Linked DNA regions of Lepisosteus oculatus. The protein of the gene in region 2 purifies or fractionates together with the protein of the main gene of each other region. This does not show direct contact. Links are inferred from orthologs where the notes say so. Each region holds a gene or a part of one and is shown on either strand. Other genes may lie near its edges.

The links.
Region 1: the proteins of sap18 (region 2) and srsf1a purify together in Homo sapiens (co-immunoprecipitation; 4 studies listed by BioGRID and IntAct, with this or other methods). This does not show direct contact. The link is inferred for Lepisosteus oculatus from reciprocal best matches to the Homo sapiens genes SAP18 and SRSF1.
Region 3: the proteins of sap18 (region 2) and acin1b fractionate together in Homo sapiens (co-fractionation; 7 studies listed by BioGRID and IntAct, with this or other methods). This does not show direct contact. The link is inferred for Lepisosteus oculatus from reciprocal best matches to the Homo sapiens genes SAP18 and ACIN1.

What each region holds. Positions count from the first base shown.
Region 1 is NC_090721.1:9,630,449-9,641,097, forward strand, and holds the start of srsf1a (serine/arginine-rich splicing factor 1), read right to left. Parts: upstream 4,789-10,649; 5' UTR 4,367-4,788; coding exon 4,173-4,366; intron 2,722-4,172; coding exon 2,488-2,721; intron 2,042-2,487; coding exon 1,918-2,041; intron 693-1,917; coding exon 498-692; 3' UTR 1-497. Other genes in the region: pigs (GPI transamidase component PIG-S), read right to left, coding at 8,269-8,544, 9,137-9,347, 10,261-10,361. UniProt on the Homo sapiens protein: Plays a role in preventing exon skipping, ensuring the accuracy of splicing and regulating alternative splicing.
Region 2 is NC_090710.1:31,920,618-31,931,786, reverse strand, and holds sap18 (histone deacetylase complex subunit SAP18), read right to left. Parts: upstream 3,347-11,169; 5' UTR 3,286-3,346; coding exon 3,214-3,285; intron 2,690-3,213; coding exon 2,580-2,689; intron 1,169-2,579; coding exon 1,046-1,168; intron 945-1,045; coding exon 788-944; 3' UTR 561-787; downstream 1-560. Other genes in the region: serine/threonine-protein kinase LATS2, read left to right, coding at 10,203-10,517. UniProt on the Homo sapiens protein: Component of the SIN3-repressing complex. Enhances the ability of SIN3-HDAC1-mediated transcriptional repression. When tethered to the promoter, it can direct the formation of a repressive complex to core histone proteins.
Region 3 is NC_090699.1:13,178,427-13,188,882, reverse strand, and holds the start of acin1b (apoptotic chromatin condensation inducer 1b), read left to right. Parts: upstream 1-6,228; 5' UTR 6,229-6,322; coding exon 6,323-6,460; intron 6,461-9,626; exon of another isoform or gene 9,627-9,738; intron 9,739-10,198; coding exon 10,199-10,264; intron 10,265-10,456. Other genes in the region: c4h14orf119 (uncharacterized protein C14orf119 homolog), read right to left, coding at 1-84.

The DNA.
Region 1 (10,649 bases), on a different chromosome or scaffold from region 2:
TTATTCCAAAGCATTCTTTAATCCTTCGCTTCAGATGTCTATAGAAAGACACATGAAAAGGTAAAAAATTTTTTACAATGACTCCCGCTGTTCCACAAAAGCAGGTTAAGCCCTCCCACCCCCACCCCCCGCCCAAACAAGCAAGCAGTAAACCCCACCTTTGACAAAATGGTGGAAGACAAAGCAATACCAATTTTGTTTTCGGCTCCAAGACCCCAGACTTTCAATTTGTAAAAAAAAAAACAGGCTATACAGTGTTTAAAATACACTTCAGGCAGGGCACACAGGGAAAATGTCGACTGCGGAGTGGGAGGACTGGGAAGGACAGGACGGGGACATGTCCACAGACCAGTTTTTCTTTTATGAAGAACTAGGTCACCAGCAAAACCAATTTAATATCCAAAAACCGTAGCAAACTTTAATAAAACAGGGAAAGAAAATTCTGTACGACAACGAAGGACCCCGAGAGCGGGGGCGCGCGCGGGGCGCGGGCGGGCCTAGGTGCGGGAGCGGGAGCGGCTGTGGCGCGGCGAGTAGCGCGGCGATCCTCGGCTGCGCCGCGGCGAGTAGCTGCGGCTGCGGCTGCGGCTGTTGCTGCGGCTCCGGCTGCGGCTGCGGCTCCGGGAGCGGGAGCGTCCGTAGCTGGGGCTCCGGGGGCCGTCGACTTTCACACGGATGTACGCGGTCTCTCCCTGGTGGACACGGAGAGAACTGGCTCATGAAAAAAACACCCCGGGGGAAGCCGTCCACAGACACTTACCATCTCTGTCTTTCCTGTCAGCCTGTCCCCTTCCATCTACTACAAACAACTGGGTTTTCATGTCAGGCCCCGCTACGGGTTTGCACGCGCCATGATTCCCCCTCTGACAAGAATCCCTGCATCCGTCAGAAGACACTGCTAAACCAGAACAGGTTTACAGGTTTAACGGTTTTTTTAAAAACACGGCCTTTGCCCAAATCAACGGGGGGATTATTAAGGCTAAGACACCCCAGTAAGACATTGTCAACATGAAAGGCAATTAGGCTGCATCCCAATATGTAGTCCCCAACCTTTCACTGCTGAGGCATCTGGGATACGTGAACCCATTAGTGCCTTTCAGTGGGCAGCACGAGCTGCACACACTTGAATCCCAGGGTTTTACAAGCCGCCCTGCGTTAAGCCACGACCTCTTGACTTCTGCCTAAAGGCAAATTATAATCAACCCTCTCTGGATACGGAGAAAGGGAAGCCAGGTGGGGATCATTCTAACTCCCCGTTTAAAGCTGAGATCTACTCCCTCATTAGCACAAGTATGTGCCCTGGTAAGCAAGACCAAAGGAGAAGCAGACCAACAGCCCTCTAATATAGGGGCGGTATTTTTTTTTGCTGTGCACAAAATACTAGACCAGGATAAAATGCTTAATTTTAAAAGGTGTTTAAGCTGCGAATAGATTCGCTGGTCTGACCAAAAGTTGGGAATCTTCTGCAATGCAAGAGGTAACTGTCAAAGTAGCAGTTTCTGTGCACACATTCATGCAGACTATAAGATCAATGAGACACCTTCTGCTTCAGGGAAAATGAAACATGTGGGAAATCACATAAATTAGATATTTCAGGAAATACAAGTCTTAGAAAGCCGTTTCATTAGTTTCAAAAAGTGCCCAACATACATACCTCTTTAGAATAGGCTAATGGGCAAAAATGAGTCAGTTAAATCTTTTAAACCACAGGGCCAGTATTCCAGCATGGCATTCTGAGCTTGGCACCAAGCCTAATGACACTTTAAACTACAGGCGACATTCATTGGGACATCTCACTTACAAGAAGGTCCCAGTAAATGTCATTAAATCCAGCTCATTTGCTTACCTTAAAAGAAAAATCCAACATTTATGAACTTTGTATCCAATGCAGGTCCAGTTAGAAAACCTCAAACCTACCTCGTGTGATCTGAATTTAGTGTTATCCAGTTTTCGTACAGCGTAGGTCATATCTTCTTTGCGAACAAACTCCACAACACCAGTTCCATCTCGGAAAACGTCAGCATAACATACGAGAGAATCACTGCCACTTGGGAAGACCTCTACAAGAGAAGATGAGCCTAGCAGAGAATTGCAGACCTGATCAAAAGAAGCAACTGGAAGCAAAGCAGAAGAACCCAGATCAATACAAGATGAAAGATGCATTTGTAACTGACCACCCACAAAAAAACACTCACTGCATCCAGGTGGATGCTGCAAATTGGTGGTGGTGGAGAGGAGTCCCCATTACCTGTAAAGCGCTTTGAGTGGAGTGTTCAGAAAAGCACTATATAAGTGTAAGCAATTATTACTATTACTGCCCAATGACTAATTGTAACTGTTGAAATGATTTCACAGCAGTTAGAAATTCACAATATTGGGAAATATTTCCAAATGTGAACTTCTCTCTCTTGATAAAAAGATCATTCATGACTAGTATACTGAAGAATTGATAAGATAGAATCATTTGTTGCATTAAGAGTAACAGACTCCATTTGTACTTCATGCATAGAGATTTGCAATATCCAGTAGTGAGGCTTACCTGAAACTATGACTCTGTACTCCGATCGCCTAGAGGGGGGGCCATATCGGCCTCTGGGGGCTCCAATCCCCCCACCTCCGCCCCCTCTACCTGTGCCCCTCCCACTTCTGGGGAACTCAACTCGAAGGCGGTATCCATCATAGTCATAGCCATCCCGTCCGTATACTGCGTCCTCAGCATCCCTGAAAACAGCACCACACGCAGGACTTGAAGCTATTTCAGAAACCAGGGTGTACAAGAAGGAAAGACAGTGGATTTGTTTGCTGGTTAGCAAAGCTTAATTTAAACAAATATGCTTCCCCACAACAGCAGGAAGGCACCCTACAGTTTGCCAGGGGAAGACACGTGTATACAGGCGAACACCAGCTGCAGAAAGTACCTCGAGTATATTCGCATGTCTTTCAGTCTCATCCGCGTTTCCGGCGAGTCGTCAGCAGGTCCCATATCGCGATAAACCAAACCGCACAGCACGTTTTCATAACCGCGTGATATTATGAATTCGAAACTGTTCCATTGGCACTACTATCATTTGAACGTGCCCCCATGCACGAATAAATGTTCATTTTTCTGGGCAGCTCAGGAATAAAAGACACCAGGTGAGCAAAGTCGACGCATGAACTGTTTCAGACAAAGATGGGGTCAGGAATGAGGTGGGGGCAAACGCAAACTACAATAAAGATAAAGCATTTGTCGGTGAATGCCAGTATTCCAAATATTTCACCGCGATTGACAGAATTAGACACAGAAATCATAAGAAGGCTCCGAGCGCCGCCAGCTTCCTCCACTACAACAAGGCTGGCGGCGGTCGTCACATGGCGAGAAAATGAGCGCCAAACCACCACAATAGGGGAAACATCCTGCATGCTTGAAAAGTAGCAGGTGAAGCATGGTTTCACGGCGCTGTGAACTAGTATTTCCCCCCCCCATCTGGTGTTTAATCTCCCGAAAGTTAGGGGAAACCCCGAGGTTATTTTAATTATCGACCCCGTCCCTCATCTCCAGCGGAAGGAAACAAAAAAAAGTTTAACAGACGACAATTTGTATTTACAACGCTGCAACGGCGATCGAAAAGTTGCATCACTGCTTCAGCATATAAACCGGGGCCAAGAGAAAACTTTTTACAATCAACAAAGGAACAAAGACTCTGGAGGGTTTTGGGACCCTCGCCGCGTCGCGGGAGAAGCCGGCTAGAAGCTTATATCAGCACCATCGCAGTTTTTATAGGGCCTCATCGAAATTCCGAGTGATCTGCTCAGATAAGCTTGACCAACGCTCGGTACAGCTCCACGTAGCCAGGAACACGCGTGTGCGCCCTCGCACAGACCAGGCAATCGACTTCCAGCGCCCCGGCCACAGGGTACGACACCGCATGACCTGTAAGAGCCAGGCGCACGCTCAACGGGTCCTTAGCTCTCGACTTGCACAAGACTCCGCGCCCAATCGATGGAGAAAAAACAAAAAGGCATAACAAACGCCCCCCGAGCACAAACGAGGCAGGGCTCCGGGTGCCCCGACCACCAGGATCGTGCAGACACGGGACCCACCGCGCGCGCGCCTCCCCCTAGGCCCGCGCCGCGCAGGCCGCGCGTGCTGCCCACGGCGCCTCTCCCTCCTCCCTGCCCGGCTCCCTCACCTGGGATCCTCAAACTCCACGAAGGCGAACGGCGGTCCTCCGCGCCGGTTTTTCAGGTCGATATCCCGGATGGCCCCGTACTTGTAAAAAACGTCCTCGATGTCCTTGGTGCGGATATCTGGGGGCAGGTTCCCCACGTAGATCCGACAATCGTTATTCCCAGCAGGGCCCCGAATCACACCACCGCCAGACATCGTGCGAGGAAACCGCTCAACCGCTACTACCGCGACTTAAAACAAAAAAAATGACAAACGGCTAGCAGCCTGCCCGCTCACGGCTCACGTGCTGCAAACTTGATGCCCCGTTTATCTTCTAGCGTGCGCCTCGGTCTCCACGCACTCACTCCGCTCCCTGCCTTCTTCAAAATGGCGCCGGCTGTCCCAGTCGTTTGAACCGTCTTGCGCTGGCGGAGGAACACAACCGACCGAGCCCGCTCCGCGCTCTCCGGCTTGGAAGTGCACCTCCGACCTATAAAATAATCCCCTGTTTACCACTTCGCTGCGCCAGCGTGGAAAATAAAATTAAAACACCGAGTACGTTAAATGCCCACTAGGGAAAATAAATGTATAAAAGGCTTTGGCTTTTTCGATATTTTTCTTCCGCTGCTGCAAATAAAATAACGGAGGAACCTGTAGCGAACCCTGAACTTTTATGCTGGGGGGCCACACGCTACAGTGACGTCGTTTAGGTCGCGTCGCCCGAAGCCCCTCCTGCGCCAGTTTCAAATTACTATGAGTTTCTGAAAACTGAGAAAATGTGTTTTTTTTTCTATTATAAAATAGCGACTTTATTTATCGAAGGCAATGTACAATCAACAGACCTCATAATTTCAAATTGTGCAAAACCTACATAAAGTAGGTTTGAAAAAATAAGAGATTTCGATAGTATTACAATGCCTAATGCAAAAAAACAAAAAGATAAAAGACACCCTACAATATCAGTGTATCCAAGAACGGTTTAGTGTTGAGAAATCAGATTTCTAGGACCAGACGCCCAGAAACAGACATTACAGATAAATAGCTTGTTAGTCTTAAGTGTGCTGTGCATCACTCGCTTTTAAAAACTTGTTTGAATGAGACGCTTTTCGAAAGATGACTCCCAAATCTGAAATCGAAATGCAAACTATTTATTGCCTTAATCGGCGATAGCAATGAAAATGAAAGATTGAAAGCAGTTCCACAGATTAAGTGTTTTCAAGAATGTGGATTTTATTCACAGCTGAACTGGACGGGGGGGTAACCGTGTCCGTTAGTCTCTTTGGACAGCAGATAAAACCCCTCAAGGGCATCCAGGCTCCTGGCTTCTGTATAGACAAAGCACCGGCCACTCCGTGCGGGAACAGTCGGCCATTTTCTCTTTGTGTGCTCTCTTTTTAAAACTTTGTGGAATAACCGACAGTATTTGAAATAAGTTTGCTTGACAAACAAACAGAAATTTAAACACGATCACCCTCTTCACTGAGCCCATAGCAGAGTTATTGGTTGCTAAGCAGCAACAAACCAACACAAACATCAGCCTTAGACAACACAAAGAGCAGGGACACTTTCCCTGAACTGGAGAGGACTCACAAGTCACACTTCATCTGTGTTTGTTTTTATTTATTTTGATTCACAGAGATTCTGGTGCGACTCTTTTTGCCCCTCCAAAAATAAAAAGTACAAAACAATAACAACAACAACAAAAAAAACACGTTCAGGTCAAAGTTAGTAGCAGGCATGGGCCTTAACCTCACTCTGCAACACTCCATTACGTTGAAAACAAGGATTTCAGCACGAAATTTAAAAACAGCTCACTTCAAGCCTACGTCAGTGGCAGAGTGTATGGATTTAAGTTTGAAATTGGCCACTGAATGGAAAAGCCTGATTTTAATTCAGTCAACACTTGTATTTTTTTGTCGCAAGGGGCCCTGAGTCATTACCTTCCCATTTTAAAAAGGGAGCAGTAATGTAACAAATTGAAAACGTCTGATTAATATCTTAAAAATCTGAAACGCGTGTAGGGCCTTTTGCAGTTTCTCGGCTTCATGCACTTGGACACAGGCATGGGGACCGGGGCGACAGCCCGGGGCATCTGCTGTGTGAAACAGGCTGGCAGCAGGGTGCTCGTGTCTCGCCTGTGAGCCTGAGAGGCGCCACATTCCAGGCACACAACAGCACAACGGGGATAAGGGGCAATTCACCCCACCCCACCTCCCCACAACTCTTTTTCCCAAAAAGCCTGCACCCCTCCTCTTTTCCCAAGGCAGTTTCGGGAATATTGTCAGCTCCTGGGAATGGAAATACATTCCTGGTTTCTAGAGAGGATGAAGCCAGTTAAGAGGTCATTCTCTGCAAGTTACCAGTACAACCCCATATACAATTGTAAGCAGCATACCTTTGCAGCCTACGCATGCTGACGCAGCTACCCACCTGAACTACTACCTGTGCTGTATGCAGGCATGGATTTAAAGCCTGTTTCAACCACTATCGTGTACAGTCTTTCTTGGGTAACCTCTGTAGAAACATGCAGGTTTCAAGCAGTTTGTTTGTGCCTATACACTTTATTTACTTTCTGTTTAATGTCTAGGCTTTGATTTATTGCTGGGAACTGTAACTCTTTTGCCAAGGAACACCACAGGTGTGATATTTAAACTTTCTGCTCTAGGAAAGGTTTGTTGTGCCAACGAAGTCCCAGAATTCATCTCGGAGCTACACTGACATTCCCTTTCCCGAGAGTCTCTGTTTTCTAGTTTAGAAATAAAAATAATTGATCTTTGATAGGAAATCCATTTCATTCTCATGCAACAACACTGGCCGTGAGGTAATTCTAATTTCTACATTTAAATTCTTAATGTTATAATACAAAGAGCCGTGTTCATGTAGGGGGTTATTATCAAGGTGTTAAAGAATCTTAAAATATACCATCAACACAATAAATAAAATAGTTTTCACACAGATTTCTCTCTCACCCACTGTGCTTCATACAGCATCTGCTTAACTGTTCTCTTAATAGATAAATCCAACAATCAAGAATGTTGAAGAAATACCCCACAAGAAAACAGGTTCTAAGAAACACAAACAACAAATACTCAAGAAAACAACACAACCACACGCATACATATACTGATCCAGACAGAAATAGCATGGCATCCAGATCAATCACATTCGTACTGTGTTTACTGCCTCCACGTTCAACACATCCTGCCGGGAAAACCATCCGACAGAGGAGAGCGTTCCGACACCGAGTCCATCGCGGATCCTTTGAGCTGCAGGAGCGAATGAACAGACACGTCGAGCACCCAAAACGTCATAACGAGAAAGTCTGCGATCCATGAACAGCAGACTCGAAAATAATCCAGTGATGAGCATATTTCAGTGCTGGGCCCAATGCCGGTAGAAAGCCAATCCCCACAACCCTTCTGAAACCAGTGCGCTGGTCTCAACGTAGAGCAGACACCTTAGTAATTTACTGTATACAAAGGAACAGATAAAAGTTTATTCCATGTTAAAAGGGAAAGAGACAACATTTTGGCTGTGCAGCCTTCTACACTTTTCCATTCAGCACGGAATAAACCCTTTGCCGTTCTTTTACAGCCTACGCATGCTGACGTACCTACTCCAATTACTGCATGCCTAATGACAGGCAGGCTAGCTGCTTGCTTTGTGACGCATATTTCTATTCATGGTGCCAAGGGGACCGAGAAGTAGGACTTGAACCTTCCTGATCCAGGTGCGTGCACCGTTTGAAGAACGTTTCAAGAAGGTTTCGGGATGCAGTAGGTCTTACGCCCTGACAAAGCACTACCATGCCGGTCCTCTTCAGGGGAAGCACACACACACCCTCATTCTGTACAGTTCAGGCAGGGAGCTGCGTCAGCACGCGTGGGCTGCAAAGGAACAAGCAGAGGTTTATTCCCTGCTGAAAAGAGAAGAAGAAGAGAAACGCAACGTTTCGGCTGTGGAGCCCTCTTCAAGCATCAGAAGAAACGCTGCGTTTTTCTTCTCCGTTCAGCACAAAATAAACCTGGACTTGTTCCTTGCACACTCCGTAGATGCATGTATAGAAAACCAGAGGAGAGAGGTCAAGGGGGTCCACTTGAGGCCGAGCGGGGCCCCTCTCAGTCCCTCTTTGGACGCTGCGCGCGGCTCTGCCGGTACTCCTTGCCGATCTTGAGCAGCGACAGCAGGATGGGCACGGACATGGGCAGGAAGAGGGGGATGTAGATGGCGAACTTCTGGTCGTCGGGGAAGTAGAGGAGGTGCAGCAGGGAGGGGTCGAAGAAGGCTCTCTCCGAGGACAGGATGGCCTCCTTGCTGGACTGGAAGGCGAAGGCCAGGTTCCCGGCCTCCAGCTCGGCCACGGCCAGCTGCAGCGAGCTCACCGCGCTGTACACCTGCAAGCAGAGGAGGACCTCGCTCAGATCACGTCTTCCTCAACCAAGTGGAACAGCCAGCGGCTGCCGAAAGAATCCCACTTAACCTACACTTCAGTCAGGAGACTGGGGCAAGGAAGGAGTGCAATCTGTCCAGCAGGGGGTGCAAACCTGATCCATCTGTCAGTGTGGTGAAAAATCACTAAAAAAGTGGCCCTTTTCTGGACACTCCACTCAAAGTGCTTTACAGGTAATGGGGATCCCCTCCACCTCCACCAGTGTGCAGCCCCACCTGGATGATGCACCAGTACTCTCCCCACACACCAGCTCTCAGTGGGGAGGAGAGCAGAGTGATGAAGCCAGTTCAGAGATGGGGATTATTAGGAGGCCATGATTGGTAAAGGCCAGGGGGGAATTTGGCCCGGACATCGAGGTAACACCCCTACTCTTTTCAAGAAACATCCTAGGAGTGTGCAAGCTCCACACAGAAGGTCCAGTACTCGAACCCAGGATCCAGGAGCCGTGTGGCAGCAGAGCAAAGAGCCATGCAGGCATGCTGTGCCATGAGGTGTGGGTTCGGATTTTCTTCAATGACCGGCGGGGTCACGCTCACCTGCTCCGCGATGTGGTCGTCGATGACGATGTTGCCGATCTCGTCCAGCAGCTGGGCCAGCGAGGTGAGGGTGGTGGTGGCGGTGGCGATGTTCTCGACGGCGCGGGCCCACAGCAGGCGGTCCAGCTCCCAGTCCGTCAGCCCCTTGTTGCCGGGGCTCTGAAGCAGGTAGCCGGGGGGGGCGTGGACCTGCTGCACCCCCAGCAGCAGCCTGCGGGGACAGGGACGCGGCGCATCAGAGGCAGGAGCGACACACCCACGCCCTACCCCCAGGCAGCATCGTCATCAAGCCGAGACCTGCGACTCACCCTACCCATAAGCACCCACTCAGCTCAGCCAGACCCGCCTGTCCGTCTGTCACAACGCTGGCCCTCGGCAGCTCAGATCACAGACAGGCGAGCGTGACCGAGCGGTCTGGGTGTGGAACTGTGGGGTGTGCGCTGAGCAGGCGTCACCTCGATCATCACGGGGGAAGTACACAGTAGGTTCTCAACACCTGCGAGGATTCGGTGCAGAGAACTGTCACAAATAGCCAGATTTGCATCTAACCAAATTCACCCTTATACCGTTTCATAATGTACCACAGTATATGGTATGTATGTTTAAAAGCCATACGTAAGCATCCCTTATATGGTATTGAAAGCACTAATGCATTGGCTTTAAGTTAGTTTAAATAACGCCCAACAACTAAAAGAAACAACAGTAATCACCAACGTATAGTAATCAGCTAAAATAAACAACAGGAATCTTTGTTCTCCGTTCAGCCTGCACATCAACTGTCTTCATGAGTAACACCTGTTTCACTGTAATGAAACAGGCAGCAGGACTGTCACTCACACTGCTGACACAGAACCTGGAGTGTTCATTATGATATGAAGACCAGAGCGCCCCGAGATGTGGGTCTTCGGGCAGGGGGCCCGAGAGGCTCGGACACTAGCTGGAGTGGTCTCGCCACCCCCCCAAGTCTGCTGCCCCGCTGATCTGAAAGCTGTGCTTCACAGCCTTCGGCTCGCTCCGCTCTCCTTCCACGCCCGATTGAATTGGGAATACGCGAATCGGCGGGCTGGGGAGACCCCCAACTGCACATGGGCCCTGAACCGTGGCGAGAGGGAGCCCCGACTCACCGCAGCTGTGCCAGGAAGACGCCCATCACGCGCACCATGTCGATGTCGACGTGCACTGGGAACTGGGGCTCCTCCACCTGCTGCTCACGCACGTTGTACACCTGGAGGGAGACAAGAGCACAGCTGGGCAGATGTGCACACAGCGCAGCAGCAGGTCTTTACCCAATCACAAGGACAGAGGCTTCGCAGTGCTGGGGCCCCTGGGTTCGATTCTGGATCTGGGGTGCTATCTGTGTGGAGTTTGCATGTTCTCCCCCGTGTTGTCATGGGATTCCTCTGGGGGCTCCGGTTTCCTCAAACAGTCTAAAGACATACTGGTAGGTTAACCTGCTTCTGGGAAAACTGGCACTGGTGTTCATGTGGCCAGGTGTAATTTCCTTCGCCAGTTT
Region 2 (11,169 bases):
CCTAGCCATGCAACTTCTGTACGGACCTATACAGTTACGGCTGTTGTTCTAGCATACATTTCAGAATGTTTAAGTGTGTGTCTTTCACTTGGAGGTTGTCACAATGTGCAAATAAGGGTAAAATTCTCATTGAAGGGTGTTATTGGGGTAACTTTCAAAAGGGTGTGAAGATTTTAGAGACTGTTTGTATACACACACAGGGTGGGTAAAATACTATCAGCTTTTTAAAGTGATCTTAAATCTTCACTTGCAATTTTAAGCATGAAAAACTCCAGAACAAACACCCTCATTGTTAACATCCCCTCTAACTTTTCCCCCTGAATTAAATCTGGGTATTTAAGTTTGGAGGGGTTAACAGAGACCAAGGCACAGTGTGATCAACCAGACCAGCCATCTAGCATGATCAAGGACGAATAGCAGTATAACACCAAACCAGGTTCCTCAAGGGTCTAATCTCAAAGTTTTAATTCCTGTAAATCTGTTACTCCACACCTGTGACCCAGTCACGCACGCTCACACAAACCCCACCTTTAAAAAAACGTCATACTCCCCACACGAGATTTCTTTCAGAAAAAACACCTTCACAGAAATCGTTTAATTGAATTACCAAATCCAACGCAAATTAAAATTCACGAAAAAATGAAAGGAGCTTTCAAACTAAATTTCCTTAAACGCTTCCAGAAAAAAAAAGCTACAGCGACATTAATTAAATCAGGAAAGGCAGGAAAAAAAGGCTTTAATAGGAAACACAGGGGATATAAAACGTAGCGGCCGCAGTCCCCGGCGGTCAGTAGGGCCTCATGCGTCCAGGCAGGGGCGGCGCTCTGTTCGGCGGCGTTATGGCAATGTCTAGGTAGTCTCCTATCTGGAACCGCTGCGATTGCAGAGTCATGGAATCGTCTGCTCCTTTCCGCCCGGACACCGTGTTCCCAATGTCTTTAACTCTACAGGACCAAGGGCAGATCATCTTAGGTGTCACAGTTCAAACACAGCCGCTGCGCGTTTAAGCTCGGCCCGTAACGGCGGTATTTCTCAAGGTATTTACCTGTAGCCTTGTCTTTTAGGGTCAGGGTACACGATGGCAAAGCCAAAATGCGTGCCTTTCTTCCGAGCTTCTGGATAGACTTCTTTCACCAAGCTGGTCAGTTCCTTCAAGGTAGCATCCATCCTATTTGAGACAATATTACTCTTTAAAGTACCCAAGACGGAAGCTAAGACTCAGCACTTAACTTCAGCTCCAACAGCAGGAGAACATTTGAAAAATAAACATAACTACTCCATATTTGGCTAATGTCACCTCAAGACAATAAATTTGCACTTTCAGCACAGCTTAAGGTTTTCCACGGTCGTGGGAGGGGAGCTGGCAGCAGATTCTGCAAGATCATTCTTGTAGTTTTTGAAAAGTTTGGCGTTCCGGTTGAATTCGACCTGGCATATTAAAACAAGCAGGCCAACAGAGTTACATTTGTCATTTCATTGCTTGTGATGAAAGCATTGGCCTTCTGAGTACCACCACAACTATGCCATATCCAATGGCGCGTGTTGATAGCGCAGGGCCCACGTCTCTCGGATCAGGGCTCTGCAACAGGTCTGGGCACCTGCAGAGGTGAACAGCTTTGTTCTTCTGGTCAGTTAGTCTGTCCAGCTGGTCCTGGAGAGCCCCAGTACTGCTCAACTTCTTTTTAAAGACTGTAAGACAACACTGACCAAGCAAGTAATCTGTTCAATTAACAGAGACCCAGCAGCTCTATCACCCTTTAACTCACAGCTGGCAACCCAGTGGAGCTCAGCAGGTGTGAGCCTGGCGAATACCTGGATGCGAGACCTCCTGGGAAAGCTCAGGTTGCTGCTGAAGAGGTGTTAGTAGGGGGCGCTCACCCTGCGTTCTGTGTGGGTCTGTGACGGGGACACCAAACTGTAAATGGGCACCGTCTTTCGGATGAGACAATAAACCGAGGTCCTGACTCTCCGTGGTCATTTAAAATCCAAGGGTGTTTCTCAAAAAGAGTAGGGGTGTTACCACAATGTCTTGATCAAATTTCCCCCTGGTCTTTACCAGTCATGGCTTCCCAATAAGCCTCATCACTCTGCTCTCCTCCCTACTGAGAGCTGGTGTGTGGGGAGCAGCCTGGAGCACTCTGGCTGCCACCACATCATCCATGTGGTGGTGGAGGGGATCCCCATTACCTGCAAAGCACTGAGTACAGTGTCCAGAAAAGAGCTATATAGGTGTAAGGATATCATTAATATAACTAATCCCTGAAATCTGAGAAGTACATAGATTTTAGTCCTAAAATATCTCTAAATTAATTTAACGGTGCAGTGGCTCTATGGCTCAGGATCTGTGCCTGTGGCTGGAAGGTTGCTGGTTCAAATCCCGCAGCCGGCAGAGGAATCCTACTCCGTTGGGCCCCCGAGCAAGGCCCTTAACCCCAGCTGCTCCAGGGGTGGTTACAGTGGAATTGGTCCATATCTTCAGAAACTGCTTATTTTATGATGACCTATAAAACAACTTGCTGGGGTGGGGCTCCCCCGGCCCAAGCAGGGAGCCCCGTGGTGTGAAGTGTCATCAGACCTACCAGGTATAGATTTGCAGCTCGCTGGAGGGCACGTTTCCCCTGGCGAACTCGTCCATTCTGTGGTGTCTGCCGTTGTTCGTGGTGAACACCCGCAGCAGCAGCGGGCAAGTCTGCAAACAAAACAACAAAAATAAGTACCTAGCTTTTTTCAGTTGCGGGAAACCGATAGGTGGTCTCAAGCGTGGTATCTGCTCACCATCGTGTTTCACAAAAGATGCATTACAAACTTGCTAGCTACATCTACATTCATCGCGTTGTAAGTAAATAAATGACCTTTAAGTATATTTTGCTCACTAAGGAAAGAAAGTGAGAAAAACATATACTTTATCGCCGTTTTCTCAACTCGTATTGCTTCGCATCGCACACGTTTGGCAGCAATTAGGAAGAGAAAGTAAATCGTTTTAACTGAAAACTCAATAAGTCTCACTGTCTTTGAGGGAGACACTGTACAACTACCCAAAATGCGAAGAAACACGAAATGAAAACACAGTTTTACACAGCACATACCTACTGAAGCGTTTAATGGAGACCAACACAACACCGTTCCACACATTTCCAGAAAACAAAATACAAGGCACCACTCAAACCGTGCGTGCGCATCTTCGATAGACAAAAACGGCTTAACACAACTCACCTTTTCTCTATCGACGGGCTTTTCGGGTTCTTTCTTGATTTCTTCCTGAGTGACTCGAGATTCAACAGCCATTTTCCCAGAAAGCGCCCCCGCGTCTTCACGCCGACCCCGTACAAACACAAGTATAACTTCCGGTTCAACCCACGGGTCGTGATGACGTAACAGGATACGTAGCCCGCGAATGAGCTTAAAGGCTATGGAGCCAATCAAAATGCGACTTCTCCGTATCGTATAATGACTAAAATAGGCGCACACCCTTTTTATTCTGAAGTGCTTAGGTTAAAGGTGATTATTTCTAACAGTAAGAACATGACAGCTGTGCGGACCTTATATAATAATAACAATAATAATAATAATAATAATAATAATAATAATTGCTTACACTTATATAGCGCTTTTCTGGACACTCCACTCAAAGTGCTTTACAGGTAATGGGGATCCCCTCCACCACCACCAGTGTGCAGCCCCACCTGGATGATGCGACAGCAGCCATAGTGCGCCAGAACACTCACCACACACCAGCTATCAGTGGGGAGGAGAGCAGAGTAATGTAGCCAATTCATAGATAGGGATTATTAGGAGGCCATGATTGGTAAGGGCCGATTGGAAATTTTGGCCAGGACACCGGGGTTACACCCCTACTCTTTTCGAGAAATGCCCTGGGATTTTTAATGACCACAGAGAGTCAGGACCTTGACTATACTGGGGCATTAAGACCCACATGGACCACAGGGTGAGCGCCCCCTGTTGGCCCCACTAACACCTCTTCCAGCAGCAACCTTAGTTTTTCCCAAGAGTTTTTCCTTATCTTTACTTATCTTGTTAAATCTTTTTTGTAAAGTGCAGTTGTATTACAGTATGTACCATTGAAGATGTTATTAATATGTCATATTGTTGGTGTTTCCATTATTTTGGTAGTTGCGTGTATTTGACTTTGCTTCTTTAAAGAGAAGGCTAAATAAGATTCCCAGGTCAATTTGCTTTTAATAACCAAACAAGCCTCCTTTTGCCCGTATCCATTCTGTTCTTGTGTTTATTTTACCTGTGTCGAGACTTTCAATGTGTGCTTTCAAGATATTCCAGCCCAGGCCATTCCTTAGGGCTTGTGTGCTACAGTAGGTGTCCGCTTTCCTGCTTCTGTGAAAAATACGTCCATCTCTTCAGTTTTGAACGGAAGGTTTTTACTGGCTGAGATCATCCAAGAGTCACTCATTAAAAAAAAATGATATTAAGCAATCCGTAGATGAAGCAATTCAACACTCTGTGGAACTGATAGAGGTATTTATTATGTTTTATTCAGTACTTCAACATTTTGAATTTTATTAATGCACTGAGACACTCTGGTCTGTAGAGAGATAAGAAAAGAATATCTGCTCTGCTTTTTTTTCCTTTCCATACTGTACCTCTGGTTTACAAAGAGGGAGGAAACATATTTACAGTCAGACCCCCCCCCCCCCCCGACTGTACTGCGGCTCTTTGACTGTAACTCCTGACGGGCTGAGTCTGCGAACCTGTGTCGTGTTTCCCAGTGGGACCTCATAACGGGTCCACGGGTCACAAAGATAATAGCTCACTTTCTAACACAACGCGGTCTTCCAGCTGATCCGCATCACTACCAGGAGATATAATCCGACGTAATTCAGGCGCAAACACGTCTGTCACACTGAATTCCTCAGCTCTCCTTGTAGCTGTACATCTAGCAAGATCTGCTCATGCAACGCGTGACGAACCGGATCGCAGCGCTATTAAAAGGAGCTGAGAGACACTGGGGACTGTGGTACAGAGGGTCAGTGGGAAGAAATTATAAACAACAAAACTGTCACTTGGAAGAAGCTGTCACAAACTAGCCGATTCAGAAGAGGCTGTCCTGGTGACCAGGCTATTCAAATCTAATCTGGATGAGTTAACTCAATGGTGTTTAAAGCGCTCTGTGCGTGAATTAATATGCGTGATAATTATGTGGATGTTTGGACGTGTTTTAAAACAATACAAAACGGTTCGTCCTTAGATTTACTGTCCAGAGCGCAATGACAGCATTGAAACAAGGAAGCCGTTTGTCGGTTTCCCTCGATGTTAGTCGGTTGCTTTGCACTCTAACACGCTTTTCCAGCGGCACATTTTCACTCCTTAGTGCTCTGGGCCGCTTAGATCTGAAACAATAAGCACCCCTCCAGCCTCAGTAACCGGAGCCTAGCGACTGTTTCATCCTGTCCTGCGTTATTGATGCTTCTTCTTACGCGTTATGTTGGCTAAAATGGCAGGAAATTAACGCGGGTCTTGAGGTGATCTTCACCAACCTGCCCCTCGTTCACTTTTGGGGTTGCCGCTCCTAGTGCATGTTTGTTTTTCCTTCATTTATTACGTCTAAGACTGGGTTTTAATTGTACTTTGGCTACTGGGGCCTTGTACGTTTAACCAAATGTACAGTCACCTGTAGCTATGAACTGAACGTTTAGTTATCTGTAGCTGACGCGATTTCTATAGCCAACAACTGATTTTTAAGATCTGCTCAGGCTGAATAACCCCCCGAAGAAGGCTCAACAGCCGAAACGTTGTGTTGTCTTCCTTCTCTTTTCAGCCGGGAATGAACCTAAAACTTGTTCCTTTGCGGCTCAATAACGACTTCAGCCTAAACACTGGGATTTGTGTGTGTGTGTGGGGGGGGGTGACAAAACAGAAAGACACACATTCGGGCGTGTTGCCAGTCGGCTTCCTGGCTTCCCGGGGCGCCCTGCGCGTCTGTGGGGTTTTTGGTTGTTTTGTTTTTTTTTTTCTTCTTGGGTCACGAAGCCGCGCTCGAGCGCTAGAAGCGCCCCCCAGTCCGCGAGCGCGCGGGCCGCTGACGTGATCCGGGGGCGTCACGTGCTCCCCCTGGAATGCGAGCGATGCAGAAAGTGTCCAACTGAGCACAGCGTCCTAATTCAGCCCACTGTAGGGAGAAAATGGAGCCTCATACCGGCGTGAGCCCCGGCCGCAGGCACTGAGCTGAGCTGGGTGGCTGAAGGACAGCCCCGTTCACGATAGCAGCAGCAGCAGCAGATAAGGTAACTTTCCCCTTCTCCTGATGCATTTCTGTTTGTTTGTTTGTTTGTTTGTTTTTAGAGAGTTTACCGTTACTTTTTCTTACAATGCACGCGTTTTGCTGTTGCGAGTGGTTGCTATGCTCCCGCGTCTGGGAAAGGTGCAACTTTTCGATTTTTTTTCGGCGGTTCGATGATTTTTTTTTTAATTTTAAAAATCGTAAATGTATTTCTGTTCTCGACAGCCGATGTGGGGTGCGGGTAGGGGCGTTCGTCTTCAACTGAAGGCGCGCACGCACGCACATGCCAACATATATAGAAGGGGGGGGGTGGCCGATGAAACTTCAAAGTCTCCCTAAGGTGGAATGTCGGGCTCCTTCTCCGGACCTGCGTTCCAGTCACTCCAATCAGGACCAGATCGCAAACTTTCAGCCCCAACTCGAACAGGCTCTGTGAAGTTTTTTTTCTTAACTTTTTTTTTTTTGGAGGGGGGAACGACGTTAACTAGGGATCTGCCATCTAAATAAAAGACACGCGGCTTGCAGAAGGGGCTGGGGAGGCAGCCAGCGCTCCGAAGGACCGAGACGAGCCCGTGAGACGATGGTAAGGTGTCGGAGGGGTTTTCATCGTTTTGTCGAGAAGGAGGTGGGGAGAAGAGAGCACAGCCAGTAATGATTATGTTTTGTCATATGCAAGTCGAAGTTCCGAAAAACGGCAGCAGAGCTGAGTGCCTAAAACGTTTTCAATGTGCCGATTTTTTTTTCTTGGCAGAGAAATTAAACGAGGGGGCAGATCGTGTAATTCCCCGTCTGTCGGTGCCCGTGGACGTGTATATACTCTGTATCGGTTGATGGGTTCAGCGCAGCGTCTGCTTCTGTCTTGTACATTTTTAACATTTTTCGGGTTGCTACAAAGCTGACACTGTTACCACGGTTTAAATGGGCACCGTCGTCTCTTGCATGTGTTTCCCAGCGAGCTGCTGCACATATCGTGCCTGCCGCCCGCTGCCCCTGTCTCTCGATTCTCATGAACTCCGCCGTCTGTATGACAGACTTCAAAACCCGTTTACAGTCTGGTCGGTATCCGAGTGTAAGTCTCTCGAAAAGCAGATGTTACAGGATACAGCTGGGTGTTGTTTTAAGAGGCACAAAGATGAACTTGACCGTCCCACCACTGTGTGTGAACTGTGAACTGGGAGGTTGTGAAACATTGTTGTCGCGTCCATGTCCTTCCCAGCGGCCACGCTGTTTGTGTTGTTGATTGAACTGCAGAGTCGGGTTCAATTCGACTGCGGTGGCCGGACACCTCCGCGTTCGTTATCCTTTCCATTATTGTGCGATATTGCACTTATTGCAAAAAGGTATCGATAGACGTCTATAAAAGCTCAGCGTTTTACTTCAGAAGCATCCCTGTAATTTATCAGATTGATCAGGGTTTTTTTTTAATTTAGTCGCATTAGAGGTAGTGTAAGCTGCAGGCAGCCGCATGGTTTTCAGGAGAGGTGTGTCTTATATTTATTATAAAGACGTGTCAAGATCTCCTGCCCACGTTCCGAACTTTTTAAACAAGTTGCATATTATTTTCTTTCTCCGTTATACAGAACACGCCTTTTTTTTCTGGAAATGATGCTGGAGATGGAAGAAATCCAGAATGTTCCTTACCAATGACATTTTAGGGTGTTTAAAATGTTAGCACGCTGCAGTATGAGGTAGTTTTATCGCGCACCTAATGTAGGAACAACACAGCTGTCCAGGAGGCGCTGCTGCAGAAGCGTGCTGGGAAGCAGCGGGTTAGAAGGGGCTCTCACGGCGTCTCGCAGGGCGGTGCAGGTGGTGCTGCCGAGTCCCCCAGATCCCTCCCCCCCCAGGAGGGGTGATGGGGTGTGGCCACGGCTGCAGACCTGACCGGCGGCGGCCGGGCAGTCGGTCCGTGACGGGCCCTCGGCTTTAGTGTTGCCGGGGCTCTGTGACAACGTGCGCGGCCAGCAGCTCCATCCCCCTGCAGCTCCCAGCTGGCAGCCCCACTGGAGCCCAGCAGTGTGAGCCTGGCCAGTACCTGGATGGGAGACTCCGGGGAAAAACTAAGGCTGCTGCTGGAAGAGGTGTGAGTGGGGCCAGCAGGGGGCGCTCACCCTGCGGTCTGTGTGGGTCCTAATGCCCCAGTATCGTGATGGGGACACTGTACTGTAAAAAGCCACTGTCCTTCGGGTGAGACGTTAAACTGAGGTCCTGACTCTGTGGTCATTAAAAGTCCCAGAGTGTTTCTCACAAAGAGTAGGGATGTCTCCCCCCGGTGTCCAGGCCAAATTTCCCCCGGCCTTTACCAATCATGGCCTCCTAATAATCCCCCTCTCTGAACTGGCTTCATCACTCTGCTCTCCTCCCCACTGAGAGCTGGTGTGTGGGGAGCGTACTGGTGCATCATCCAGGAGGGGCTGCACACTGGTGGGGGTGGAGGGGATCCCCATGACCTGTAAAGCGCTTTGAGTGGAGAGTCCAGAAAAGCGCTGTAGAAGTGTGAGGAGCTATGAATTATTATTGTCCATCGGAGTGGTGTCCCCTCAGTCCCTCTGGGGACATGGGCAGTGGCAGTGGAGCTCCCCTGCAGAGCCTGGGGGAGCCTGTGCCTTCGGGTCACCCTCCCACAGGGTCCGCAGGACTCGGCTGGTATGTGGGGGGGCAGGTCCGTCCCCGGGGCCCAGCGCCCGGTCCTGCCGGGTCAGGCTCCGGGTCGGTGCGGACCTCTGACAACGGGTGGACCGCCCAGGCTGTTATCTGCTCTGGGGTCTTTGAAATAACGTAGCCATCACCTGGGTGTGACCCCGTGCTCCCGCCTTCGTCCACGTGAGATTTCATTAGCGATCAAGATGAAGCAGTTGGAGATTTTTACCTCTAACGAGCGTGAGGGGAGGGGAGTTGATTTTCACAAAATCGGATGCGTCTCGCCTCTCGGTTAGCTCCGCTGACGAACAGACTTCGCGTGACAAGCGAAGGGTCCACCCCCGGCGCCCGTCAGCAGGATACAGTATGTCTGGGTTCCACGTTCGGGTCTTGAGTGGAGTTGTTTGTTGTTAACTGCTGTCATTGGGAGCCTGTTTTTTTTGCACAGCTGTTGGCTACCCAGGCCCCTGGCTTTCTCGATGCTGCCTGTATTAATCAGGTGGACCTTCAGCCTCCTCAGAGTCTTAACAGAACCAGAGTGTGTGCAGTTTCAGCAGACGTATAACATTTACACGTAGGCGTTGCGCGTAAAGGACTATACGAACAAATCGGACAGTATTACACAGAAGAAGAAGAAGAAATCTGTGTCCGTTTCAGATGACTGCGTGTCCTGCCACCGCTAAGATTTAGCCCGTTAAGGTAGAGGAAGACATGTTGACAAAACTGGTGTTTATTACCTGTGGGGGGGGAAATGTGCATTTTTGGGGGATCTTGTGTGTTCAGATCATGGGAATAGACATTTCGCTAAAGCTGCAGAGATGCCCATTGTCTCCCGCTGTGTGTTGGGGGGGCGCAGACAGGAAAAGGGAAGGGGGTCAGAGTTGTTGGTGTGGCTGTCAAATGGCGCACGGCACCCCGCTGATCCCACTTCCTCTATCCAGTTCGGGGTGGCGGGGGAGCTGGAGCCTATCCCAGCAGGCAGCGGTGCACCCCGGACGGGATGCCAGTCCAGCCCTGGCCCTGCTTCGGCCCGGTCGCGCGCGGCTCTGCTGACGCTTCTCCCCCCGTCTGTCTTCCCAGAGGCCCCGTGGGGATGGAGCGGTCAGCGGGCACGGCGCCTTCTCTCTCAGGCTGCAGGACGGCGGGGAGCCCGGTCCTCTGAGGCCCCACTAAAGCCTGCGTCCGGACAGCGCGGCGGGGCGGGCTCTGGGCGGCCCGTCCGTTGATGTTGTGGGGCGGGGAGGAGGACTGAGAGCAGCGTCCGGCGCGGGCCAAGCGGAGAGGAGCCGGGGGGAGGGCGGGAGCGGCCATGAGGCCGAAGACGTTCCCCGCCACCCCGTACGCGGGCAACACGCGGCAGCGCCTGCAGGAGATCAAGGAGGGCCTGAAGCAGCCGGCCAAGCTGGTGAGCCAGGCGCTGCAGGGGGGCCGCGGCGCCGAGGGCGGCCGGCCGCCGCCGCAGCAGCACCACCCCCGCGCGCCCCAGAAGTTCGGCAACTACCAGACCGCCCTGCGCGAGATCCGGCGGTCGCTACTGCCCTTCGCCAACGACTCGGGCTCCTCGCCAGGCCCGGAGGTCAACCGGCAGATGCTGCAGGAGCTCGTCAACGCCGGGTGCGACCAGGTACCACAGCGGGGGGCTTCTCTCCTGACTCTGGGGGGCTCCTCTTCCTCGCCTGCCGCTCCGCGCGGCGCGGGCGCCTGACTCGCGGGGCGCCGGCGGTGGGAGGCGGGCGGAGACGCTCGGTGGGGTCCGCAGGGTTTGCAGGAGGCAGGGGCGCGAGGCGTGCGAGAGCCCCGTGTGTTTCCTGAAGCAGCTCCAGGGGCGGCCGGGGTCTTGTCATGTGAGGGTGGCCAGGGGTCTCGCTCAGGACGGGTGTGAGGGGAGGTCTCGGCTGCCCAGTTTGACTGTTATTAATTGCTTCAGAAAGTACGAAGACACCCTTTGAGCTCGAGGCTGCATACGGCGTGGCAAACAAAAATCGACTCTGTTTTCAAAGTAGCTGTGAGGTTTTGAATCATCTGTACATCAGCGTTGACCAGCCCTAGTCCTGCAGGCGTCCGGGTTACTTTGATTCAGCCCGGGACGGACAGGGGTGGCCCTGGAGAGAGCTGGGCTCTGTTCTCCATGCTCTGTGTGTATGTGGCAGCGACACGCCTCCTTTGAAAAGTCACTGGGCAGCCGTGGCATCTCCGCTAGATCCCAGTTTAGTCAAATGTTGAGCCCTCTAAATACAGGCTGTTTTTTTGTCATCATGAAATGAAGCGCAGCTATT
Region 3 (10,456 bases), on a different chromosome or scaffold from region 2:
GGAGAGGAGGTCCTCCCAGCTAGGGGGCGCTGTCGCTGCAGGGGGGCAATGTGGACCCTGGACTGCCTGATGGAACCAGGACATCTAGAGAGAGAGGAGATCACAGAGAAGCCCTCAGTAATACACACACAACAGGACAGGAGACACAGTGAGAGAGAGGAGATCACAGAGAAGCCCTCAGTAATACACACACAACAGGACAGGAGACACAGTGAGAGAGAGAGAAGATCACAGAGAAGCCCTCAGTAATACACACACAACAGGACAGGAGACACAGTGAGAGAGAGAGGAGATCACAGAGAGTCCCTCAGTAATACACACACACAACAGGACAGGAGACACAGTGAGAGAGAGGAGATCACAGAGAATCCCTCAGTAATACACACACACAACAGGACAGGAGACACAGTGAGAGAGAGAGGAGATCACAGAGAATCCCTCAGTAATACACACACACAACAGGACAGGAGACACAGTGAGAGAGAGAGGAGATCACAGAGAATCCCTCGGTAATACACACACACAACAGGACAGGAGACACAGTGAGTGAGAGATAGGAGATCGTAGAGAAGCCCTCAGTAATAAACACACAACAGGACAGGAGACACAGTGAGAGAGAGGAGATCACAGAGAAGCCCTCAATAATAACATTACTAATAATAATTGACAGGGCGTGAGAAGTGCTCTTACCGTAGCACCGTAAAGGAATAAAGAAATGTCTCTTTGCCTCCTGTTCCCGAAATGTGAACCGCGATCACGCGTGTTTATTTACGTCTCAGTCCATGTCCTCCCGATATTCTTCAGGCACCACGGTTACACAGACACCCCCGGTTCGGTCCCTGGGCCTTTCCTTGCCGCCGCTGTCGGTACACAACTCTCGGAGTTTGCCTGGGTCTGTGGTGTGTGTGTTGTTATTGTTGTTACTCGCCCGTCTGTGAAGGAAGGAAAACACCACAGCTTCCGGTTTTAAACGGAAACCGGAAAGGGCTGGTCTCGACGAGAGCGACCGGAAAGAGCCGAGGGGCGATCCCTTCCGCTCGGGTCTTTCCGTCAACTCGCGCTGTGGACGCGCAGGAGCTTCTCTGTTTCCGGATCACGACCGGATTTGTGTTCTGTTGTGTAGACAGGCCAGAGCAGTGTTTTAGTAGCCGAAATAATAATAATAATAATCATCGCTGCCGCTGTTGTCATCATCACCAGCTACAGAGTCGATCCCCCTGCTGATGTCGCAGGAGAGACGTGCCGACAGCGCCACCTAGCGTTGGTAAAAGTTTGCGCCAGTAGCGGTTTAATTCCGACGCGGATCTGCAGACGCAGCACAAACCGCTTGAGAAGAGAGCTCTGCTCTTTTTTTATTATTAAACGTATAAAGAATTTTACAGACACAACCAGAGGATCGGAAACAGACAGGCACAAGAGAAAAAAACACAAACAGAAAAAAAAACAGTTAACCGCCAGAGGTAATGAAGTCAATGATGTGTTCGGATGATTTTTGGACAGATATCAAACGTTTTCCTTGCTGTAGCATTTCTCAGTTTTTTTAATAGAATTTCGTTTCAACTCCACCTCAAAAGTACTGAAAGGGGGAGTGTTATTGGACCATTTTGCTTGATGAATGTGACATTTACCCAGAATGACTATGATAAATGTACTATAAATAAATGCTTATTAAACAGCACAATCAAATATCAAAATCCCTCAATCTAAAAACACCTTTAACTGCCTGCACACAAAACACTGCAAGTCCGTCCAGAACAGCTTCCCAAACCCACCCCAGCCCTTGGGTCCCGGAGCGCAGCCCGAGCCCGGCTGTGCCAGCGGGGGAGATCTATCCGCTCGACGGAGGGCGGCTCGGGCCCGGTGATTTTCTGCGCGGACCTCAGAACCCCCTGTACGGCCTTTCTGTCCTGTCCTGGGGCTCCACTGCACCACCCCGGAGTGCGCTGGCTCTGGGGCTCAGGATCTGCGCCGTGATAATATGACTCTGATTTTACTCTGTAGTCGTATGTAGCTCTCTGAATGGTCTTGAATTCATTCAGATCTCTGAATTAATGAGCGGCTGATCGCTGATTGGGGTGTTTGGCCTCCTCTGGGGCTCAGGAGCTGTGCCTGTGGCTGGGAGGTTGCCGGTTCGAATCCCGGGGCTGGCAGAGAAATCCTATTCCTCACTCCGCTGGGCCCCTGAGCGAGGCCCTGAACCCCAGCTGCTCCAGGGGTGCTGTATAAATGGCCGACCCTGCGCTCTGACCCCCAGCTTCTCTCCCTGTCTGTGTGTCTCCTGGAGAGCAAGCTGGGGTCTGTGAAAAGACACATTCCTGATGAAAGAGACTGTACAGAGACAGGAAAGAGATCTGATCTTGATTGTACAGGGCCAGTAAAGAGATCTGATCTTGATTGTACAAAGACACTAAAGAGATCTGATCTTGATTGTACAGGGACAGGAAAGAGATCTGATCTTGATTGTAAAGGGACAGGAAAGAGATCTGATCTTGATTGTACAGGGACACTAAAGAGATCTGATCTTGATCGTACAGAGACAGTAAAGAGATCTGATCTTGATTGTACAGGGACAGTAAAGAGATCTGATCTTGATTGTATAGGGACAGTAAAGAGATCTGATCTTGATTGTACAGGGACACTAAAGAGATCTGATCTTGATTGTACAGGGACACTAAAGAGATCTGATCTTGATTGTACAGGGACAGGAAAGAGATCTGATCTTGATTGTACAGGGACACTAAAGAGATCTGATCTTGATCGTACAGAGACAGTAAAGAGATCTGATCTTGATTGTACAGGGACAGTAAAGAGACCTGATCTTGATTGTACAGGGACACTAAAGAGATCTGATCTTGATTGTACAGGGCCAGTAAAGAGATCTGATCTTGATTGTACAGGGACAGGAAAGAGATCTGATCTTGATCGTACAGGGACAGGAAAGAGATCTGATCTTGATTGTACAGGGACAGTAAAGAGATCTGATCTTGATTGTACAGGGACAGGAAAGAGATCTGATCTTGATTGTACAGGGACACTAAAGAGATCTGTGAGTTGAGAGCACAGCCGTGTGCTCAGCCCTGTGTTGAGGATCGGGGGGGGGGGTGTTCACCCCTCTTTTTGCACGTCTCAGAGTGAAAGTGCCCTGGGGCATACGAGCACCCGTACCTGGCCCCGCTGGCCGAGAGCACCCTCCTCCTCCTCCTCCTCGTGAGAGCGGTGATCGGACCCTGTCGGCCCGAGACCTGTGAAGGTTACTCTTCCGGCCCGGAGGAAAGCCTTTCCGACTCTTCCTGCCATGTCCCCCCCAGGGCATTCCTGCAAGCCGCTGGGACTGGAGCCCCTGAGGGTCTGATATTGAAGACGCTCAGAAGGAATTCCTGACACCTCTATAGCGCCTTTCTGGACCCTCCACCCCTCCCCCGGCGCTGTCCAGTACTGGGGACCCCCTCCACCCCCCCAGTCCGCTCACACACTCCAGCTCTCAGTGGGGAGGAGAGCAGAGTGATGAGGCCAGTTCAGAGAGGGGGGTGATCAGGAGGCCATGACTGGTAAAGACCAGGGGGAGTCTGTCCAGGACACTGGGGTCACACCCCTACTCTTTCTGAGAGACACCCTGGGGTCTTGACTGACCACAGAGGCAGGACCTCAGTTTTACGTCTCATCTGAAGGACGGCGCCTTGTTTACAGTCTAGTGTCCCCGTCACTGTCCTGGGGCATTAGGACCCCCACAGACTGCAGGGTGAGCACCCCCTACTGGCCCCACTGGGTCTCCCACCCAGGTACTGGCCAGGCTCACACTGCTGAGCTCCAGTGGGCTGTCAGTGAGCAGTAGGGGGATACGGCTGTAAATAATAATAATAATAATAATTACACTTATATAGAGCTTTTCTGGACACTCCAGTCAAAGAGCTTTACAGGTACTGGGGATCCCCTCATTTTCCCAGGATTCTTTTCCCGTTCACAACCGTTTTTTTGTGCAATATATGCCATGGACCCGTGCAATACATTTATATTTATATTTACATCTATATTTAGATTCATATGTGCAATACGATCTTTCTGTTCCAGTTTGTTCTTTGTGTGTCCTGGACTGTGAGGTACTCTTTTAGTGCACTTCTCACTGTACTGATTGTATAGTATGTATTGTATTATTATTATTATTATTATTATTGTATCATTCGTTACACTGTTGCTGTGTTGTCTGTGTTAAGCTGCTGTTGGAGTGCAGTTTCCCTCACGGGATCAATAAAGTATCTAGTGTCCCCGTCACTGTCCTGGGGCATTAGGACCCCCAGAGACCGCAGGGTGAGCGCCCCCTGCTGGCCCCACTAACACCTCTCCCAGGTACTGGCCAGGCTCACCCTGAGCCCCAGTGGGCTGTGTGTGAGCTGCAGGGGGGTACGGCTGCTGTTGTTATTCATGTCACCAGACAATGGCCACCTGGCATACAGATTCGTCTGTGTTTAATGTAATCTGTAATACAAGAATCCATCCATTCATTCAGACTGTACTCAGATTCTTCAAAAACATCCTGAAACAGTCCTACACACGTCTTGTGTCATATAAACTAGTTCAACGATGTGACCCCTCTTGTAATGTTAATCAGGTTGGTAGTGTTGTGGCTGATGTCCTGTTCTGCTGACTTGTATGATGTTTTTGTATTGTTATATCACAATGTCTGTATATTTATGCCCTTAATTGTCGTAATTTCTTCTTTGAAGAATAATAACATAGAACCTCATTTTATTTTTTTATTATCATGGTAAATATTTAGCTGTCTCCCTGGCTTCAGGTCACCCTCAAGCTTCAGGTCAAGCCCAGCAGAGACAGTGTCTCTGCCCCTCCGCTGGGAGAGATGCCTCTGTGTCTCCGGGAGGGACAGTAACACCCCTCTGCAGTCTCACCCTCTCTCTGACCTCAGGGCCCAGCGCTGGCCTGGGCTCTGTGTGGGTGATGCTGTAAAGACTGGCTTTGTCCTGAGACTCCCAGAGAGTCCTGCTGGGAGCACCTGGTGGACACTGTCCCCTGACCCTGCTGTCCACTCCAGCACAGGACAGGAGGACACTTTTCCCTGACCCTGCTGTCCACCCAAGCACAAGACAGGAGAACTCTGTCCCCTGACCCTGCTGTCCACTCCAGCACACAACAGGAGGACACTATCCCCTGACCCTGCTGTCCACACCAGCACAGGACAGGAAAACTCTGTCCTCTGACTCTGCTGTCCACTCCAGCACACAACAGGAGGACACTGACCCCTGGCCCTGCTGTCCACCCCAGCACAGGACAGGACACTGTCCCCTGACCCTGCTGTCCACTCCAGCACAGGACAGGAGGACACTGTCCCCTGATCCTACTGTCCACTCCAGCACAGGACAGGAGAACACTGTCCCCTGACCCTGCTGTCCACTCCAGCACAGGACAGGAGGACACTGTCCTCTCCCCTCTCTCCCCTCTCTCCCCCCTCCTCTCTCTCCTCCTCTCTCCTCTCTCCCGGGAGCTCTGTTTCCACTGAACAAGTACAGGTTTACTCCCTGCTGGAAAGAGGAGACAAGAAACACAACGTTTCGGCTGCGGAGCTTTTTCGGGTGTCGGGCGGGTTCCTCTGGAGCCTTTTTTAGCGAGTTACCACCCTGCACCTGTGTCCGTGTCCCCTAATGCGTGTGTAAGCGCTGTGGGTGGTGTTGTTGTACAGGGGGATATAGGCTGGTGCTTGTTCCCCTGTCTCGTCTCTGCTCGTCCTCTGTCCTGCACGAACCCATAGGCCCTACAACACCATCGCCAGGGGCACCTACTGCAACAGACCTGAACTTGACCGAAAATCGATTACACAAGGGAAATAAATCAAGATAAAGGCCAGCGCGGCTTTCATGTTCTCACTTTTAAAAATACTCTGCAGATTCGCCCTGACGTCTATTTCAAACTGCTCAGACACGGGTGTCTTCCCCGACTTTCTGTATATAACAACGTGCAAGTTGTTTTTGAGTCAGTAATGACGAATCATTTGTCCGCAGATGACCGACGACGCCTCGACCTTCGAACTCCTGTGAGCTGCAGGGGTAGCTGACGAGTGCTGTCCGGAGATTGCCGAAGTAGCCTCGGCCGGCCCCCCTCCGGAGATTGCCGAAGTTGCCTCGGCCTGCTCTCTCCGGAGATTACCGACGACTGAGCCTCGCGTTCGATCCCCCTCCCGCTCCTGCTCTTCGGGCCTCTCCGGCTCCGGAGAAAGCCGAGCTCTGACGTCAGCGGGGGGGAAGGCGTTGCAGCGGCCGAGCCGGGGAGAGAGAGAGCGAGCGAGCGCAAGAGCGAGGGGGGAAAAGCAAAGATGGCGGAGCTCGAAGACGTTACGTTGGATGGGAAGCCGCTTCACTCGCTCCGGGTGGCGGACCTGAAGGCCGCCCTGGAGCAGCGAGGCCTCCCCAAGAGCGGGCAGAAGAACGCGCTCATCAAGCGGCTCAAAGGGGTGAGTTTGGCCGCGGTTCCGCGGGGGGCTCGGACGGGACTGGGGCGGCAGGGGGGGGCGGCAGCAGGCTCCCGGAGCACGAAGAAGCGAGCCCTCGGGTTGGAGTCCGCGGCGGCGGCCGCCCCCCGGCCCGGGCGGGCGGGCGGGAGCGAGGGAGCGAGGGCGCGGGCGGGCGGGAGGCCCAGGCCCGGCGCCCGGGGGCCGGGGGCGCGGCGAGGGCGCCGGGCCTGCAGGCTGCGAGCGGAGCGGCGGCTGGAAAGTTGAGCCGCGCCGAGGAGGCCGAGAGGGAGCGAGGGGCGAGTGTGTGTGTGTGTTTACGGGAGTCGGCGCGGCTCGGTGTGTCGGTTAGTTTTTTTTCTGAGTAGAAGTCGACGAGCCCGCGCTTTGTGTGTCTGTGCGCGTTCACGGAGAGCGAGCGAGGGGGGCCGTTTCTCCCGGGTGCGTGCGCGCTCTCTTGCTCGCGCTCGCAGGGGGGGGGGGGTTGAGGCCGGAGGACTGAAGGAGCGGGGATGTCGCGCGCTTTTACAGTTTGTGTTTTTCTGGCGGTGTGACGTGGACGAGGCTCGTTCCCGGGGATTAGCTGTCAGCGAGTGCCAGCGGCCGGAGTCGCGCTGGTTGGAAACCCGGCGCTCTTGACGGGGGGCGTCGGGGGGCTCCCTCTCTGCGAAATTACGAGCCTGTTGGGATCCCCCCGCTACCCACGTGAGCGCGCGCGTCGGCCACTCGCGATGATTGGTTTCAATTAAAGACGCGACGCTCTGTGCAAAAACACGAAGGTTGTGATTTTCAGAGGTGTCGACAAATCAGGCTGGGGGGTCTGTGTGTTTGAGTTGTTGAAGTTTGACGCCCCTGGCCAGGACCCCGATCAGGTGTGCCGAGAAGCCCGGTTGTGCTTTTCTGTGCCATCAGACTGCTGCTGCACTGTGGAGTTTCTCTCTCGCTGGCCGGGAGCTGTGACTGCACTGCACTGTCTGTGTGCGATGCTGTGTGTGTTTGTGCATGTGCTGTCATTGGTTCACCTCCCTGTGTGTGTAGGACGTGCTCAGTAAGTGTCAGTCCAGATCCCAGGACACTGTCAGTAAGAGTAGGGGTGTCCTGACTGGTCAGTACAGATCCCAGGACACTGTCAGTAAGAGTAGAGGTGTCCTGACTGGTCAGTACAGATCCCAGGACACTGTCAGTAAGAGTAGGGGTGTCCTGACTGCTGGTCAGTCCAGATCCCAGGACACTGTCAGTAAGAGTAGGGGTGTCCTGACTGGTCAGTTCAGATCCCAGGACACTGTCAGTAAGAGTAGGGGTGTCCTGACTGGTCAGTACAGATCCCAGGACACTGTCAGTAAGAGTAGGGGTGTCCTGACTGGTCAGTCCAGATCCCAGGACACTGTCAGTAAGAGTAGGGGTGTCCTGACTGGTCAGTACAGATCCCAGGACACTGTCAGTAAGAGTAGGGCTGTCCCGACTGGTCAGTCCAGATCCCAGGACACTGTCAGTAAGAGTAGGGGTGTCCTGACTGGTCAGTCCAGATCCCAGGACACTGTCAGTAAGAGTAGGGGTGTCCTGACTGGTCAGTACAGATCCCAGGACACTGTCAGTAAGAGTAGGGGTGTCCTGACTGGTCAGTACAGACCCCAGGACACTGTCAGTAAGAGTAGGGGTGTCCTGACTGGTCAGTCCAGATCCCAGGACACTGTCAGTAAGAGTAGGGGTGTCCTGACTGGTCAGTTCAGATCCCAGGACACTGTCAGTAAGAGTAGGGGTGTCCTGACTGGTCAGTTCAGATCCCAGGACACTGTCAGTAAGAGTAGGGGTGTCCTGACTGGTCAGTCCAGATCCCAGGACACTGTCAGTAAGAGTAGGGGTGTCCTGACTGCTGGTCAGTACAGATCCCAGGACACTGTCAGTAAGAGTAGGGGTGTCCTGACTGCTGGTCAGTCCAGATCCCAGGACACTGTCAGTAAGAGTAGGGGTGTCCTGACTGCTGGTCAGTCCAGATCCCAGGACACTGTCAGTAAGAGTAGGGGTGTCCTGACTGGTCAGTACAGATCCCAGGACACTGTCGGTAAGTCTAGGGGTGTCCTGACTGCTGGTCAGTCCAGATCCCAGGACACTGTCAGTAAGAGTAGGGGTGTCCTGACTGGTCAGTCCAGATCCCAGGACACTGTCAGTAAGAGTAGGGGTGTCCTGACTGGTCAGTACAGATCCCAGGACACTGTCAGTAAGAGTAGGGGTGTCCTGACTGGTCAGTACAGACCCCAGGACACTGTCAGTAAGAGTAGGGGTGTCCTGACTGGTCAGTCCAGATCCCAGGACACTGTCAGTAAGAGTAGGGGTGTCCTGACTGGTCAGTTCAGATCCCAGGACACTGTCAGTAAGAGTAGGGGTGTCCTGACTGGTCAGTTCAGATCCCAGGACACTGTCAGTAAGAGTAGGGGTGTCCTGACTGGTCAGTCCAGATCCCAGGACACTGTCAGTAAGAGTAGGGGTGTCCTGACTGCTGGTCAGTACAGATCCCAGGACACTGTCAGTAAGAGTAGGGGTGTCCTGACTGCTGGTCAGTCCAGATCCCAGGACACTGTCAGTAAGAGTAGGGGTGTCCTGACTGCTGGTCAGTCCAGATCCCAGGACACTGTCAGTAAGAGTAGGGGTGTCCTGACTGGTCAGTTCAGATCCCAGGACTCTGTCAGTAAGAGTAGGGGTGTCCTGACTGCTGGTCAGTCCAGATCCCAGGACACTGTCAGTAAGAGTAGGGGTGTCCTGACTGCTGGTCAGTACAGATCCCAGGACACTGTCAGTAAGAGTAGGGGTGTTGCTTATCCATCCTTTATTGACCTTTGATCAGGGGACACCTCTGATGTATTCCTTGTTAATGCATGGTATTTGCTTACTGTAGTGTGCTGTGTTTGATTCTGCTCTAATTAGTTGCATTGTTTTGAATAGTGATTAACTGAGATTATAATCAGACTCCACTGACAGAGCAGTGTGAGACACTCCAGACTGGACTGGACTGACTGGACTGTGATCTTGATTAGTGATTCACTGAGATTATAATCAGACTCATTGACACTGACAGCTGTCTGAGCCAGTGTCTGACTGACATTAGTGGTATCGATGTGAGCTGTGAGAGGATGAGAGGGGGCTCTGGTAGAACTGGTGTCCTGGCCTGCTGCTCCAGTGATGAGTTACCATGCTAATACTGATACACCAGGCTGGCTGTGTGTCTGTCTGGGTGTAGGTGAGTTAAACTCTCCTTCTCACATTGTCTGTGTGCTCTGAGGAGATCACTGGGCCAGCCTGCCAGCCTCTGTTAATTTCTCTCTCCTGGGCTTCCTGACTGAGACCAGCCTGTTACCTTGACTTTCAGATTATCCCTGAGTCTGAGGATGGACTGACTGGACTGTGATCTTGATTAGAGATTAACTGAGATTATAATCAGACTCCACTGACACTGACAGAGCAGTGTGAGACTCTCCAGGCTGGACTGGACTGACTGGACTGTGATCTTGATTAGTGATTCACTGAGATTATAATCAGACTCCACTGACACTGACAGAGCAGTGTGAGACTCTCCAGGCTGGACTGGACTGTATGATTAGCAGTGTGTATCCTGAACACCAAGGGGCTGTAGTGTCTAGGCTGCAGTCTTCAGTATAGTGCGTGGGGCTGGTTGAGAGAGACAGCAGTGTGTCCAGTGCTGGTGATTGTGGTTCATGTCTAATCTATGTGTTTATGTTGTTTCAGGCTCTGATGTTAGAAAATTTGCAGAAGCACTCAACCCCTCACAGTGGGCTACAGCCCAACTCCCAGGTAAGACATCTATCTAGAAAGATGCGTGTTCCTCACCTTGCTGGAACGTGCTATACAGACATGCTGAGACAGACGGATTTGGTGGACACTTTTCCACACTTGGTGTAGATGTGCTGTGCAGACACTGTTTCTGGTTACCCGTGTCCGCCTGTTGCTCTGGGAGCAGACCAGGTGTGTTTCTGGTTACCCGTG